3 linked regions of the Lonchura striata genome follow. The protein of the gene in region 2 interacts with the protein of the main gene of each other region in a pairwise test. Links are inferred from orthologs where the notes say so. Each region holds a gene or a part of one and is shown on either strand. Other genes may lie near its edges.

Region 1 (4,830 bases), on a different chromosome or scaffold from region 2:
ATAAACCAGTACGGACCGGTATGGACCAGTACGGACCAGTATGGACCAGTATGGACCAGTATGGACCGGTATGGACCGGTATGGACCGGTATGGACCGGTATGGACCAGTATGGACCAGTACGGACCGGTACGGACCAGTATGGACCGGTATGGACCAGTATAAACCAGTACAGACCAGTATAAACCAGTACGGACCAGTTCCTTCCCAGTTTCCCCAGTTTGAACTCCCAGTTTATCCCAGTTCCCTCCCAGTCCCCCCCAGTCCATCCCAGTCCATCCCAGTTCCTCCCAGTCCCCTCCCAGTTCCTCCCAGTTCCCTCCCAGTTCCCTCCCAGTTCCCTCCCAATCCCTCCCAGCTCCCCCCCAGTCCCTCCCAGTATAAACCAGTCCATCCCAGTCCATCCCAGTTCCCTCCCAGTTCCCTCCCAGTCCCTCCCAGTAACTCCCAGTCCCCTCCCAGTCCCTCCCAGTATAAACCAGTCCCTCCCAGTCTCACCCAGCAGCACCAGCGGCGTCTCCCGGGCCCGGAGCCGAACGGCGACGCCGAAAAAAACCCCGAGAGCGACGAGGAGCAGCGGGGAGCTCAAACTGGGAGAACTGGGAGTTACTGGGAGCACTGGGAGCTCAAACTGGGAGCACTGGGAGGGACTGGGAGCACTGGGAGCTCCAACTGGGAGCACTGGGAGTTACTGGGAGCACTGGGAGCTCCAACTGGGAGAACTGGGAGTTACTGGGAGCACTGGGAGCTCCAACTGGGAGCACTGGGAGTTACTGGGAGCTCAAACTGGGAGCACTGGGAGGGACTGGGAGCTCAAACTGGGAGCACTGGGAGGGACTGGGAGCTCAAACTGGGAGCACTGGGAGTTACTGGGAGCACTGGGAGCTCCAACTGGGAGGGACTGGGAGCACTGGGAGCTCAAACTGGGAGCACTGGGAGTTACTGGGAGGGACTGGGACAAACTGGGACAAACTGGGACAAACCGGAACAACGCCACAAAACCCCCCAAAAATTCCCAAAAATTCCCAAAAAATTCCCAAAATTCCGCAAAATTCCCCAAAAATTCCCGAATTCCCGAAAATTCCCAAATTCCTCACAGGCAGCAGGCCAGCAGCGCCAGGAACAGCAGCAGGGAATTGCTGGGGAACAATGCCCCAAAAATGCCAAAAAATCCCCCAAAAACGCCCTGAAACCCCCCAAAATCGCTGTAGAACCCCCGAAAAATTCCCCAAAAATTCCCAAAAATTCCCAAAAATTCCCAGAATTCCCGAATTCCTCAGAGGCCGGAATTGCTGGGGAACGATGCCCCAAAAAACCCCCAAAAAATCACAAAAAATCCCCCAAAAACGCCATTAAACCGCCCAAAATCGCTGTAGAACCCCCGAAAAACTCCCCAAAAATTCCAAAAAAATTCCCAAAAATTCCCATAATTCCCGAATTCCTCAGAGGCCGGAATTGCTGGGGAACGATGCCCCAAAAAACCCCCAAAAAATCACAAAAAATCCCCCAAAAACGCCCTGAAACCCCCCAAAATCGCTGTAGAACCCCCGAAAAATTCCCCAAAAATTCCCAAAAATTCCCAAAAATTCCCGGAATTCCCGAATTCCTCACAGGCAGCAGGCCAGCAGCGCCAGGAACAGCAGCAGGGAATTGCTGGGGAACAATGCTCCAAAAATGCCAAAAAATCCCCCAAAAATGCCATTAAACCCTCCAAAATCGCTGTAGAACCCCCGAAAAATTCCCGAAAAATTCCCAAAAATTCCCAAAAATTCCCAAATTCCCAGAATTCCCGAATTCCTCAGAGGCCGGAATTGCTGGGGAATGATGCCCCAAAAAAACCCCAAAAAATCACAAAAAATCCCCCAAAAATGCCATTAAACCCCCCAAAATCGCCGTAGAACCCCCGAAAAATTCCCAAAAATTCCCAAAAATTCCCGAATTCCCGAATTCCTCACAGGCAGTAGGCCAGCAGCGCCAGGAACAGCAGCAGGTAGTTGCTCTGGAACCTCTCGGCGTTGTGGCCCAGGCGCCGCCAGAGCTCCCCCAGATTTTGGGGGACCCCGAAGCGCCGCTGGTCCAGGAAGGAGCCCCAGGGCCGCAGCCCCGCCCGGCGCGCCCCCAGCCAGCGCCAGGCCCAGCCGGGGGGGGACAGCCTGGGGGACCCAAAATCGCCAAAATTCACCCCAAAATCCAGCCCAAACTAACCCGAAAAACCCCGGCCCCAAAACAGCCCAAAAACACCCCAAAACCGCCCCAAAATCCACCCCAAAATCCACCCCAAAATCCACCCCAAAGCTGCCCCAGGGCCCCCAGCCAGCGCCAGGCCCAGCCGGGGGGGACAGCCTGGGGGACCCAAAATCGCCGGAATTCACCCCAAAATCCGGCCAAAACTAACCCGAAAAACCCCGGCCCCAAAACACCCCAAAAACACCCGAAACTGCCCCAAAATCCACCCCAAAATCCACCCCAAAATCCACCCCAGGGCCCCGAGCCAGCGCCAGGCCCAGCCGGGGGGGGACAGCCTGGGGGGGACCCAAAATCGCCGGAATTCACCCCAAAATCCAGCCCAAACTAACCCGAAAAACCCCGGCCCCAAAACAGCCCAAAAACACCCAAAACTGCCCCAAAATCCACCCCAAAATCCACCCCAGGGCCCCGAGCCAGCGCCAGGCCCAGCCGGGGGGGGGACAGCCTGGGGGGCGACCCAAAATCGCCAAAATTCACCCCAAAATCCACCCCAAACGAACCCAAAAAACCCCGGCCCCAAAACACCCCAAAACCCCCCAAAACCGCCCCAAAATCCACCCCAAAATCCACCCCAAAATCCACCCCAGGGCCCCGAGCCAGCGCCAGGCCCAGCCGGGGGGGGACAGCCTGGGGGGGACCCAAAATCGCCAGAATTCACCCCAAAATCCCCCAAATCCCCCGAAAATTCCACAAATCTCCCCAAAATTCCCCAAATCCCCCAAAACTCCCCAAAATTCCCCAAATCCACCCAAATCTCCCCAAAATTCCCTAAATCCCCCAAAACTCCTCCAAATCTGCCAAAATCTCCCCAAAATTCCCCAAATCCCCCAAATCTCCCCCAAATTCCCCAAAATTCCCCAAATTTCCCCCAAATTCCCACAAATCCCCCCAAAAGTCCCCAAATCCCCCCAAACTCTTCCAAATTCCCCAAAATTCCCCAAATCTCCCCCGAATTCCCCAAAATCCCCCAAATCTCCCCCAAATTCCCACAAATCCCCCCCAAAATCCCCAAATCCCCCCAAAACCCCCCAAAATCCCCAAATCTCCCCAAAACCCCCCAAAATCCCCAAATCCCCCCAAAATCCCCAAATTCCCCCAAATTCCCCCAAATCCCCCCAAAACCCCCCAAAATCCCCAAATCCCCCCAAATCCCCCCAAATCCCCAAATCCCCCCAAATCCCCCCAAAATCCCCAAAATCCCCAAATCCCCCAAATCCCCAAATCCCCCCAAATCGCCCCAAAATCGCGCCCCTCACCTGCCCAGCCCCCCCCTGGGGTCGCTCTCGGCCCCCGGCGGCTCCTGGGGGGGGGGCGCGGCCTCGGCCATGGCGGCGGCTTTGGGGAGAAACCGCGCGGTTTTGGGCAATTTGGGAAATTTGGGGAGAAACCGCGCGGTTTTGGGAATTTTGGGGAGAAACCGCGCGGGTTTGGGCAATTTGGGGAGAAACCGCGCGGTTTTGGGCAATTTGGGGAGAAACCGCGCGATTTTGGGCAATTTGGGGAGAAACCGCGCGATTTTGGGCAATTTCGGAAATTTGGGGAGAAACCGCGCGGGTTTGGGCAATTTGGGAAATTTGGGGAGAAACCGCGGGATTTTGGGCAATTTGGGAAATTTGGGGAGAAACCGCGCGGGTTTGGGCAATTTGGGGAGAAACCGCGCGGGTTTGGGCAATTTGGGAAATTTGGGGAGAAACCGCGCGGTTTTGGGCAATTTGGGGAGAACCGCGGGGTTTTGGGAAATTTGGGGAGAAACCGCGCGGTTTTGGGGGGATTTTGGGCAATTTGGGGAGAACCGCGCGATTTTGGGAAATTTGAGGAGAAACCGCGGGGTTTTGGGCAATTTGGGGAGAAACCGCGCGGTTTTGGGCAATTTGGGGAGAAACCGCGCGGTTTTGGGAAATTTAAGGAGAAACCGCGTGGTTTTGGGAAATTTGGGGAGAAACCGCGGGGTTTTGGGCAATTTGGGGAGAAACCGCGCGATTTGGGGGGATTTTGGGCAGAAACTGCGCGGTTTTGGGCAATTTGGGAAATTTTGGGGAGAAACCGCGGGGTTTTGGGAATTTTGGGGAGAAACCGCGCGGTTTTGGGAAATTTGGGGGATTTTGGGAAATTTGGGGGATTTCGGGGAATTCTTAAAGGTTTTTGGGGTCGTTTCGCAGATTTTGGGTCCCGCGGGGGATTTGGGGTCCCGGAGAGAATTTTTGGGGTTAAATCTGCAGATTTCGGTCCCGCAGAGGATTTTGGGGTCCCGGGGGGATTTTGGGGTTAAATTCGAGGATTTGGGGTCCGGGGAGAAATTTTGGATTAAATCCGCGGATTTTGGGTCCGGGGAGGATTTTGGGGTTAAATTCGCGAATTTTGGCGTCCCAGGAAGGATTTCGGGGTTATTCCGCTGATTTTGGGGTTAAATCCGGTGGTTTTGGGGTCCCGGAGAGGATTTAGGGGTTAAATCCGTGGATTTTGGGGTTATTCCGCTCATTTTGGGGTGAAATCCGCGGATTTTGGGGTCCCGGGGGGATTTCGGGGTTATTCCGCTGATTTTGGGGTGAAATCCGCGGATTTCGGGGTCCCGGGGAGGATATCG
Region 2 (4,830 bases):
TTCATGAAGGCTGTACCTTTTGAGTACCTCAGCAATGGGGAAACGAAGAGGGCAACATGTGGCCAGGAGTTTTGGATAAAAGGCAGCTGTGCCCTCCAAAACCCTGAGAGAGAGAAAACTCTGCAGGTGTGTGCTCCAGTGAACTCTCCCTTCATTCAAATAAAGTTGCAGGACACCTCTGTCTCCTTTTTGGACAAAAACCTCTGGTGTTTGTGGATTTTCCTGACACCCCCAATGATGCAGATGACTTTGGCTTGAACTTCTTTTAGGGCATGTGCTGTTGCTTCTTGTTACATGGCTTTGCCACAAAAACCACTATATTCCTCATTAACTGTTTATCCACTGATTCCAGTTATAATTAGCATCCTGTGTGTCTACTTTTGTACTCTTTTATCTATTTTGCTAGTTAGTATTTAAGTTCTATTTAAGTTCAGCTTCAAGAGGAACTGAAAATTTCTATTTTCTGTGTTGTCTGTCAGGAGTCTCTTTCACTGGAGATACTCCAGAACTGTCTGGACACAATCCTGTATGTGAAAAACACCAATCACTTGTTTTAAAATTTTAAAAGTTTAATAGTAATAAAATGGTAATAAAAATAGAGTAATAATAATTTGGACAATCAGAGTTAGGACAACAACAACAACAAAAAAAAAAGAAAAATGGACAGTCCAGTCCTAGGCCAATTAAGCCCTGAAATCACACATGCTAACAAAGGATTAACCCTTAAAAGCAGTAGCCTGTTGCATATTCATGTATCTCATACATGATGCATAAATTCTTTTCAAACAAAGGATGTTCTCAAGTTATTGCAAACTTCTTCTCCTTAATCCTGGTGGCTCCTTAAAGACTGAGAGGAGGTGGAAGAATGTTTGTCTTTTCCAATAAGGAGGCTGTAACTCTTTAGGTGTCTTGTTGCTGCTATCTCCGTGTGAAGAATTTCTTTATTATCTCATCCCTTTATTTAGCTAGTTAGAAAAATATCTTACATTGCATAGTTTCTGTGAAAAATGCATATTTTATGATTAGCTTTTCGCAAATATTACAATGAATATTATATGTATAATCTTAAAAAGTTATGCTGTATTAATTCTCTTAAGTAGTATATAAAATATAGTTTTAAGTTCCAACATAATGCTAAAATAGAGACTATACATGCAGAAGAAGTTTTTTTTAAGAATGAAATACTCGCTTTGAAGAACACCTAAATCTTCCAAAGGAGAGGAATTTATAGCTTCTTATCAGAAGAACCTAATTTCTTCAAGCTTTGCTCAAACTCAAAGATGCTATAGGAATTAAAAGAACAGTTGACATACAACAAACAGAGTTTCTTGTTTTAAATAAAACGTATGCATAACCATAAAAGATATATAAATACGCAACAAGTGTATTAAGGGTGATTCTTTTGTTCACAAGTCATACTTTTTGTAACTTAGTGTCCGAGAACATCCAAACGTCCATAATTCTTTGCTTTTTATTGTCTTATAATTATCCTAACTCTAAACTTTATTACTCTAATTGTATTATTATTTTTATAACCATTTTAATATTATTACATTTTTAAAATTTTAAAAACCAAGTAATTAGCGTTTTTCAGTTTCTATTTCAACACTATGCTATAACCTAAAACTATATTTAACACACTACTTTAAAAGGATTAATACAGTACTACAAAATAACACGTAACACATATAAGTAGTCAGTTTAACAGAACAGATACAAGTATTCAATTTAATATTTGTGAAGAGCCAATCATTTAATATGCATTTTTCACACTGTACCAGGTACTTTTGGACGACCCTGCTTGAGCAGGCAGGTTGGACCAAATGACTGCGGTCCCTCGCAACGTGACCCCTCCTGTGATACATATTTGTTTTCTGAGCGTGTGTAAGCAGACGGAGGGGTGGGGAGAAAGGACGAGTTAAGGCAGAGGCCCGCAGACGCGGCGAGGAGCGAGCGGCGCCGGCAGGCAGCGCTGCACGCCGACTCCCGCGGAAGTCATCCCCGCATCCCGGCGGGGAAGCGGAAAGCGCTGCGGCCGGGGCGGCGCTCCGCCCGCCTGCCCGGCCATGGCGGCTCCCGGCGGGATGGTGCCGGTGCTGGCGGGGCTCTACCTGGGCGCCGCGGACTCGTGCTCGTCCCCGGAGGCGCTGGCGGCGGCGGGGGTGGTGGCGGTGCTGACGGTGGACGCGGAGGAGCCGCCGGCCGTGCCGGGGGTGCGGGCCATGCACGTCCGGGCGCGGGACGAGCCCGGCGCGGACCTGCTGAGCCGCCTGGACGAGTGCGCCGCGTTCCTGGGCGCGGCCCGGGCGGGCGGCGGCGCCGCGCTCGTCCGCTGGTGAGCGCGGGGCCGCGGCGGGGCCAGCGCTGCCCGCGGCGGCCGCGCTGCCGCTGACGGGCCGCCCTCGCCTTGCAGCCACGCCGGGGTGAGCCGCAGCGCGGCCGTGGTCGCCGCCTACCTGATGAAGACGCAGGGGCTCGGCTGGGAGGAGGCGCTGGCCGCCGTCAGCGCCGCCAAGCCGGACGCGCGGTGAGTGCCCCGCGCTGCCCTCACCCCGCTCCGCTCTCACCCCGCGCTGCCCTCACCCCGCTCCGCTGTCACCCCGCGCTGCCCTCACCCCGCTCCGCTCTCACCCCGCTCCGCTCTCACCCCGCTCCGCTCTCACCCCGCGCTGCTCTCACCCCGCTCCGCTCTCACCCCGCGCTGCCCTCACCCCGCGCTGCCCTCACCCCGCGCTGCCCTCACCCCGCTCCGCTCTCACCCCGCGCTGCCCTCACCCCGCGCTGCCCTCACCCCGCTCCGCTCTCACCCCGCGCTGCCCTCACCCCGCGCTGCCCTCACCCCGCTCCGCTCTCACCCCGCGCTGCCCTCACCCCGCGCTGCCCTCACCCCGCTCCGCTCTCACCCCGCTCCGCTCTCACCCCGCTCCGCCCTCACCCCGCGCTGCTCTCACCCCGCTCCGCTCTCACCCCGCGCTGCCCTCACCCCGCTCCGCTCTCCGCCCCGCCGCAGGGTGAACCCCGGCTTCCAGGCACAGCTGAAGCTCTACGAGGCGATGGGCTGCGCCGTGGACACCGGCAGCGTGCTCTACAAGCGGTACCGGCTGGAGATGCTCAGCGAGAGGTTCTCCGGTGAGCGGGAGAATCGCGTTTCCCGGGAGGGGAACTGGCTGTCCCGGAATGAACGCAGAAAGCCATGTCAAAGGGGCTTGGCTTCGAGTGTTGCCCTCAAAAGAGCCGAGCCTGCGCTTGGCCAGGGCGAACATTCACATTATACCAGCCCTAGCAAATCCCAGTTCGTCAGTGGGGGGGGAAAAAATGTGCCTTTGGGACATGCGCGGGAAATAAGATCTGTAAGGAGCTGCACTCTTTAGTAAAGTGCAAAAAATGGTAAAGGTCAATTCAATATTTTTAGTGATTTTTACATTCCTGGCAAAGCAAACAGCATCCTCTGTTAAAATACGTCAGTGTGATAAAAATATGTCAATGTGATGAAAAAATAACATGCAAAAGTTGAAATGCTGGTAATGAAGTACATTTTCATACTTTAATTCGCACAATATACGTATACATTGGTGTAATTTTATAATAGAATAATCTGTAGCTTTTCTTGCAAGATCTCAGTATTGCATCACAGTGCAACTTTGTGCCCTTTATGTAACATTGTCCTAAGCAGTTCTTATTTGCGTGATGACTTTCTGTATTTTGGGCATTCAAACATTGGCACAACTGCTCAGAAACCTCCTCTGCCTTTACTTTCTGCTGAAGTAAGAACATAAAGCAAAATATCATTATTTTACCATGGTTGAGGCCATAATCTAGATCCCAGTTCCTTGCATTAAACAAATCCCAGTCTCAGGCATGGCGGGATGAGGCTCCTTTTTTTTTAGCTTAATCTATTGGAATTAGTGAGAGAACAAATGAAAGAAGGTGGCACCCGCAGGCTGTAACTGGGGCAGAGGCACAGTCCTGTCTCATTCCCAGGAATGCAGCATGGCTGAGCTGATCTGATTCACAATATGGTCTTGACCCCTCTGCAGGACCTCAAGACTTGCCCCGAGAAGTCTTTGCAGTTGATCCTACCACTGTATGTCAAACTTTGAACACAGAGGTTCTCTACAAATGCAGGAAATGCAGGTACTTTATATATTTTAAAAAAATGTATTTTTATATATTTATAAAATACTTTATATTTCTACTTAAAACATCATTGTGAAATCTACTCAAGAGTAGAATACCTGTGTGAATCAATGGGCATGTCATTGTTGTCAGGTCAGGGATGAGCTGTTGCCTAAGTTTCCATGCTGTGTTTGCAGAAAAAAAAAAAAAAAAGTACAACATGCAAAACCCTTTGTTCCCTGGAGTGGTGCTTGTGAACCTTCTAGACTAATCAAAAAAATGTAGAATTTATACTCCTGTTTAATTATTCAGAGCCAGGAGACCCATACTTTCTATTTGTAGCTTTGCCCAGTGAAAAAATCCATTTGTTTTACTTCTTTTTTCCCATGTCCTGGAGGGCAGACGCGCTCTGTTCCGTAGCTCCAGCATTTTGTCCCACACGGAAGGAATGGGACCCACAGCTTTTGCCCACAAGAGGATAACAGAGTCTGCAAGGCTTTCTGGGAATGGCCAGGAAAAGTGCACCTCCTACTTCATCGAGCCTGTGCAGTGGATGGAACCGGCATTGCTCGGAGTAATGGAAGGACAGGTGAACTGGAGCATGCACTTTACTCTTTGGAGTTTTGGTTTGGGTTTGTTTTTTTTTTTTTTTTTGCAAAGGCAGAATTGTGTTTCTTCCCTGAAAGGAAAACCCCCACACAGAGTCCTATGCCT
Region 3 (4,830 bases), on a different chromosome or scaffold from region 2:
TTGTTCTGATTCTTAAAGAGCAAGTAGAGGCTACTGTTTCTGTCCATTCTTTAATCCTGAGATAATCATGTTTTTTTCCTACAAATCTTTAAGGAACAGTATTAATGCTTTACTAGCCAATTCACACTACCACTTCAAACAGAAAAGCATTACAAAATGCTGTGTCATTCCACAATACTTACACGTTGGAGGCCGATTAAGCGCCTTTGCAACGTCAACCATGTTGACTATAACCGTCTTTATTCCATTTCCTTTGCCCTCCACCTACAGAAAAAAAATAATATTTTAAGGTCAAATGTTTGCAACAGCCAAACCCAGTGTGCATTTCCATTTAACTACACCAAAATTCCGCTTTGAAGTGCAACTCCTTCCAAGACTAACATGCACTTAGTGTGGACCGGAGGAGGGCACATCCTCCCTGCTCTGAGTGACCAAGCATTATCCTGGCCTCTCTTTCCCACCCTGGGAAAACCAGTTATGGGAGAACACTCCCTGCTTTGCTTCCAGCTGCTGCTTAGGAAGTTACCTTGGCAATCAGACGGGGCATTTTGTAGCGATAGAACTGATCTGAAACACTGCGGTTGACGTTGACAGACATTTTGCCTTATTAGTAGCTTTATCAATAAGATGAAGAGATCTTTGATTGCAGTTTTTTGGTATCTTCTGTCTGGAGAAGACGGGATGACATAAACGACTGCAAGAGTTCTCGGTCTCTGACATGAAAAAATTTTCGCCACTGAGGCTGTAAGGTTCTTGCTTGTATGCTATGTTTCCCCAATACAGGTACCAGTGGCTGCGCAACAGCTCTGCAAGTGTTAACAACACACAAAAAAATTAAGTTTAGATTCATGTACATCAATCCACTCTTGCCACAAAGCTATATAATGCATGATATTTAAGGTGAATAAAGGGAAAAGTACATTTCTTATGCTATGGCTTTCTTCAACCTATGGAACTGAAATCCATCCTTGGCTTGTACTGCTAAGGAACTTTTCTTTAACTGCACCACCAAGCTTTCCACCCTCTCTTACTGCCCTAAAACCACTGAACAGCTTACAACTACTTTTTTATACAATTAATTCCAGCAGGAGTTCTGGGATGACTAAGGAAGGGCACACGCCTCGATTATGCAGACCAGTGACTTGCGCCATAAGGGTCACGTGGTACAGTTTCAGGCTGAAGGGCACAGGAAATCAGGAGAAATATTTGGAAATCCATTTCAAATTCCACATCATGAACCTATCACAAACTGAAGTCTGCCAAAATGTTGCAAAATATAAGTAAGATGAAGCAGCAGCAATCTGTAGCCCAACAGTTTCTACATGGCTTACCAGTTTTTGAATCGGAGTGGAAAAGAGTTGAAAATTACGTAATTCTCTCTCTCACTTATGGATTCTCATAGCAGCTTCTGTTGAGTTCTGACTTAACAATAAGCCTGATAAAATCTGACAGAAGTTGCTTCACTGTAGAAAGCCTAGCAATGCAGAGGTACAGAGCAGTGCAGCAGCTTTTCCAGTTGATTTTTTCTTGGGGGAAAGGGAGGGGGGGAGGAAGGGGAAGGAGGATGAATCCTATTATTAACGTTGCCTTGAGCAGTATTTACATATTTAAATTAACACGTGCTTCTATAATCAGATCTAATGGTACTTAAGCCACAATTGGTTGAGTACACAGGCAACCCTGATTACAGAGCATGGCTATTCTGACACGTCATCACGTTGTTATCGTTAATGACAGAAGCGTTGACACATTAAAAAAGCTTTCTTAGTATTTATGTGGAAGAGCGTGCCTATGGTGCAACATGATCCGAGTCCTCTGGTCACGTTTACAACTTCTTTACACAATAAGAACATAGATCTCTATGTGCCTTGTCTTCTACATTAGCCCTGATACAATTTTACCCTTCCTCAGCAAAAACCACACCGCTAGGACTCCGTTTACAACACACTATTTCCTTCCCCAGGATGTCTAAAAAGAGCCGCGGTGTAACCTGACCACGTGTCTTTAGAAATGCCGAGGAAGCAGCTCTCTCGGTGGCCGAGCTCCCAGAAGGAGCGTACCGTTTTCCCCCCCTTCCAGAGCGCAGCACTGATCCGCTGCAGGCTGCAGCTCCCTCTCCTGGTGCCCACACCACCTCATCCCAAGCACCACCCCCCCTCGCCGCGCACGGAGGACAGAGCGGGAAGGCACACCGGCTCCCTGCCGCACAGCGCCGCGCCCCCGCCCCGCCGCCGGTGACTCATAAATGCAGCAATTAAACGCTGACTCAGCGCCGGGAGCCGCCGCCGGCCGCGCATGCGCCCCGCACGGCACGGGGGAGCCCCCGCCGCCCCCCGGGAGCGGGGCCGAGCGCCCCCCCCCGCGCCCGGTGGGAACTGCGCCACTGCCCCCCCCGGGCACAGCGCGGGAGGCGCGGCCCCGCCGCCGCCATCTTGTCTCGTCGCATGGCGGCGGCGAAACGAATATAAATTAAAAAAAAAAAAAAAAATCCTCGCCCTCGCCCCCGCCCCAACAGCAAACAATAACCCCACAGATGAAGGTTTACTGCTTTCAGAGTTGAGTTTTGTTGTGCGGTTTTATGTTGTTTGCTCCCCCGCCCCGCGTTGCTTCTCCTCCCCCTCCCGTCAAAGTCCCGGACGCTTCGTTACACAAAACCTCTGCGAATCTCCACCGTTCACCGGCAGCCTGAGGCCCCAGCCCGGCCCCAACCACCCGCCGGCCCCCGCTCCCCTTACCCCGCTGCCCTCACCCGCACTAGCCCACTATTAGCACTCACCGTTTTCGTCCAATAAAGACATAAACCCAACGCTGCTCGCCCCGGGCTGCGACGAAGCCGATTGTGAGAGGAGAACAGGGCCGAGGGGGCGCTTATATCCAGACGGAGAGGGAGGCGGAGGCGGACGCCGCAGCCTCCGGGTCCCGGCGTCCTGGGGCGGGCGGTATCACCAGGGAGAGCGGCGCCGGGCAATCTGCGGGCAAGATACAATCAGGAGCATCGTTAGCGGCGGCACCTGCGAGGGAGAGGGAAGAGGAGGGGGGAGAAGAGGGAAGGGGGGAGGGAGAGGCGGCGAGAGGCGCGCAGCTGAGGCAGCAGGGGCCGGCGAACGGGACCCGGCAATGGCTGCCCCGTACTCACCTCTAGAATGTTCTCGCTCCGACTGAACAACGCCAGAGCTGGGATCAATCAGCCAGCGCTGCGCCCCGCCCCCCACCGTCGCCATTGGCTCACCGCTCCCCTCGCTGTGAAGCTATTGGCTAAAACCTCGCCGCTCCCCTCGCCTATTGGTGAACGCCGCTATCAATCAAGGCTTTGCCTCCCTCCCCCGTGTCCTCCCCCTCGCCAGTGCCCCAAAGGACATCGCGTCTACAGCGACCGAGTCTCGCGAGAGAGCGCGGGGCGGGGGGGGCCGAGGCCGGGCCGGTGCGGCGGGGCCGGGGCTGAGGGGGCTGAGGGGGCTGAGGGCGCTCCCCGGGGCTGAGGGGCTGAGGGGGCTGAGGGCGCTCCCCGGGGCTGAGGGCGCTCCCCGGGGCTGAGGGCGCTCCCAGCTTCCCCCGGCCCCTCCGTCCTGCCAGGTGTGCCCAAACTCTGCCCGTGGGTGGGGGGCGAGCTACTCCCTGGAGGGCAGTGACCCAGCGCTTGACATCTCAGCAACTATGTTACAAGTAATAATACAAAGAATTCAAAGCAATTAAGTTGCTGAATAAGTTGTGTTTTTCCTGCACAGCCGGCTTGTGGGGTTGGGGAAGAGCCTGTTGTTTAATTCCCGTGTCATAAAGGCTCAGCGTTGGGTGGCTCTGGGTGCCTTACAAAGAATGACACAAGTGCCGTAAGCATGTACTCTATTCTTAGTGGAAAATGTTGCCAGCCCTATGTAGCTGAATTGAGATCCTGAATGAAATGCATATCTTGATTTATTTTCACATAAAAAGCAGAAAACTTGCATCCTTTTTTCCATTTCTCGTTCTTTCCCATCTTCCATCTACGCTCCTCCAGTATCACAGGAGTTATATGTTTTGGGGATTTTACAGTGTCAATAATGTTCAGGTGGCAAAGAATTTTTCCCTGACTTTATGAACTGAGTGGGCAGCCAGCTTCTTGATGGCTCTGTGGGAGTAGAGGAAAAGAGAGGGAATGACAATAAAACTAGTAGTGACATTAAATAATGCTCTAAATCTCTGCCTGCCTAAAGTTGGTTTTAATGTGTAGTTTTCCTGCCTGACTTCGATATCACGTAGATGTGGTCAAAGGAGACATCACTCCTGTTGAACCTTGAAGTACATATTGAACATTTTTGGTCGAATATGCAGAAGAACTGCACTCAGGAAGGTGGCTGATAAATGATGTTTTCTTGCAAGTCACAAAAGCAGGACTACTGCCACTTCCAGTAGCATACAGCAACAATGAAAAAGCAACCCGAGATAAATGCGCACATCTTGGTGCTTTCTATCAAAACCCTCATTGTGTTAGCTGCCCCTCCTACATGTCTCCTTTCAGTACGTGGAATAGCTGGTCGTTCTAGCCAGGACACTGTCCTGTAAAGAATCATGGAATGGTTTGGGTTGGAAGGGACCTTAAAGATCATCTAGTGCTAACCCCTCACCATGGGCAGGAACACCATCCACCAGACCAGACACATCCAACCTGGCCTTGGGCACCTCTGGGGATGCAGGGTCCATCATGTAAGTTTGTCTTGGACTTCACTATCAGCATTTGAAAAAGGTAAACATTCTTCAGGATATGTAAAATGTCTTCTTGATAAATGCACGGCAACACTTTCTGAAATGGGAGAGAGTATGTTAGGGCAAAATAAGGAAGCATCTCCAAAGTAT

The links.
Region 1: the proteins of DUSP12 (region 2) and RABAC1 interact in binary tests that used the Homo sapiens proteins (3 or more experiments, as listed by UniProt). The two-hybrid records come from large-scale screens. The link is inferred for Lonchura striata from reciprocal best matches to the Homo sapiens genes DUSP12 and RABAC1.
Region 3: the proteins of DUSP12 (region 2) and EIF5 interact in binary tests that used the Homo sapiens proteins (3 or more experiments, as listed by UniProt). The two-hybrid records come from large-scale screens. The link is inferred for Lonchura striata from reciprocal best matches to the Homo sapiens genes DUSP12 and EIF5.

The regions. Positions count from the first base shown.
Region 1 is NC_134639.1:278,792-283,621, forward strand, and holds the start of RABAC1 (prenylated Rab acceptor protein 1), read right to left. Parts: upstream 3,574-4,830; coding exon 3,503-3,573; intron 2,153-3,502; coding exon 1,955-2,152; intron 590-1,954; coding exon 498-589; intron 1-497. UniProt on the Homo sapiens protein: General Rab protein regulator required for vesicle formation from the Golgi complex. May control vesicle docking and fusion by mediating the action of Rab GTPases to the SNARE complexes.
Region 2 is NC_134604.1:28,325,482-28,330,311, reverse strand, and holds the start of DUSP12 (dual specificity protein phosphatase 12), read left to right. Parts: upstream 1-1,796; 5' UTR 1,797-2,066; coding exon 2,067-2,335; intron 2,336-2,413; coding exon 2,414-2,527; intron 2,528-3,010; coding exon 3,011-3,129; intron 3,130-4,037; coding exon 4,038-4,134; intron 4,135-4,518; coding exon 4,519-4,705; intron 4,706-4,830. UniProt on the Homo sapiens protein: Dual specificity phosphatase; can dephosphorylate both phosphotyrosine and phosphoserine or phosphothreonine residues. Can dephosphorylate glucokinase (in vitro).
Region 3 is NC_134608.1:10,229,439-10,234,268, forward strand, and holds the start of EIF5 (eukaryotic translation initiation factor 5), read right to left. Parts: upstream 3,212-4,830; 5' UTR 3,137-3,211; intron 2,970-3,136; 5' UTR 2,777-2,969; intron 1,522-2,776; exon of another isoform or gene 1,332-1,521; intron 807-1,331; 5' UTR 599-806; coding exon 527-598; intron 265-526; coding exon 183-264; intron 1-182.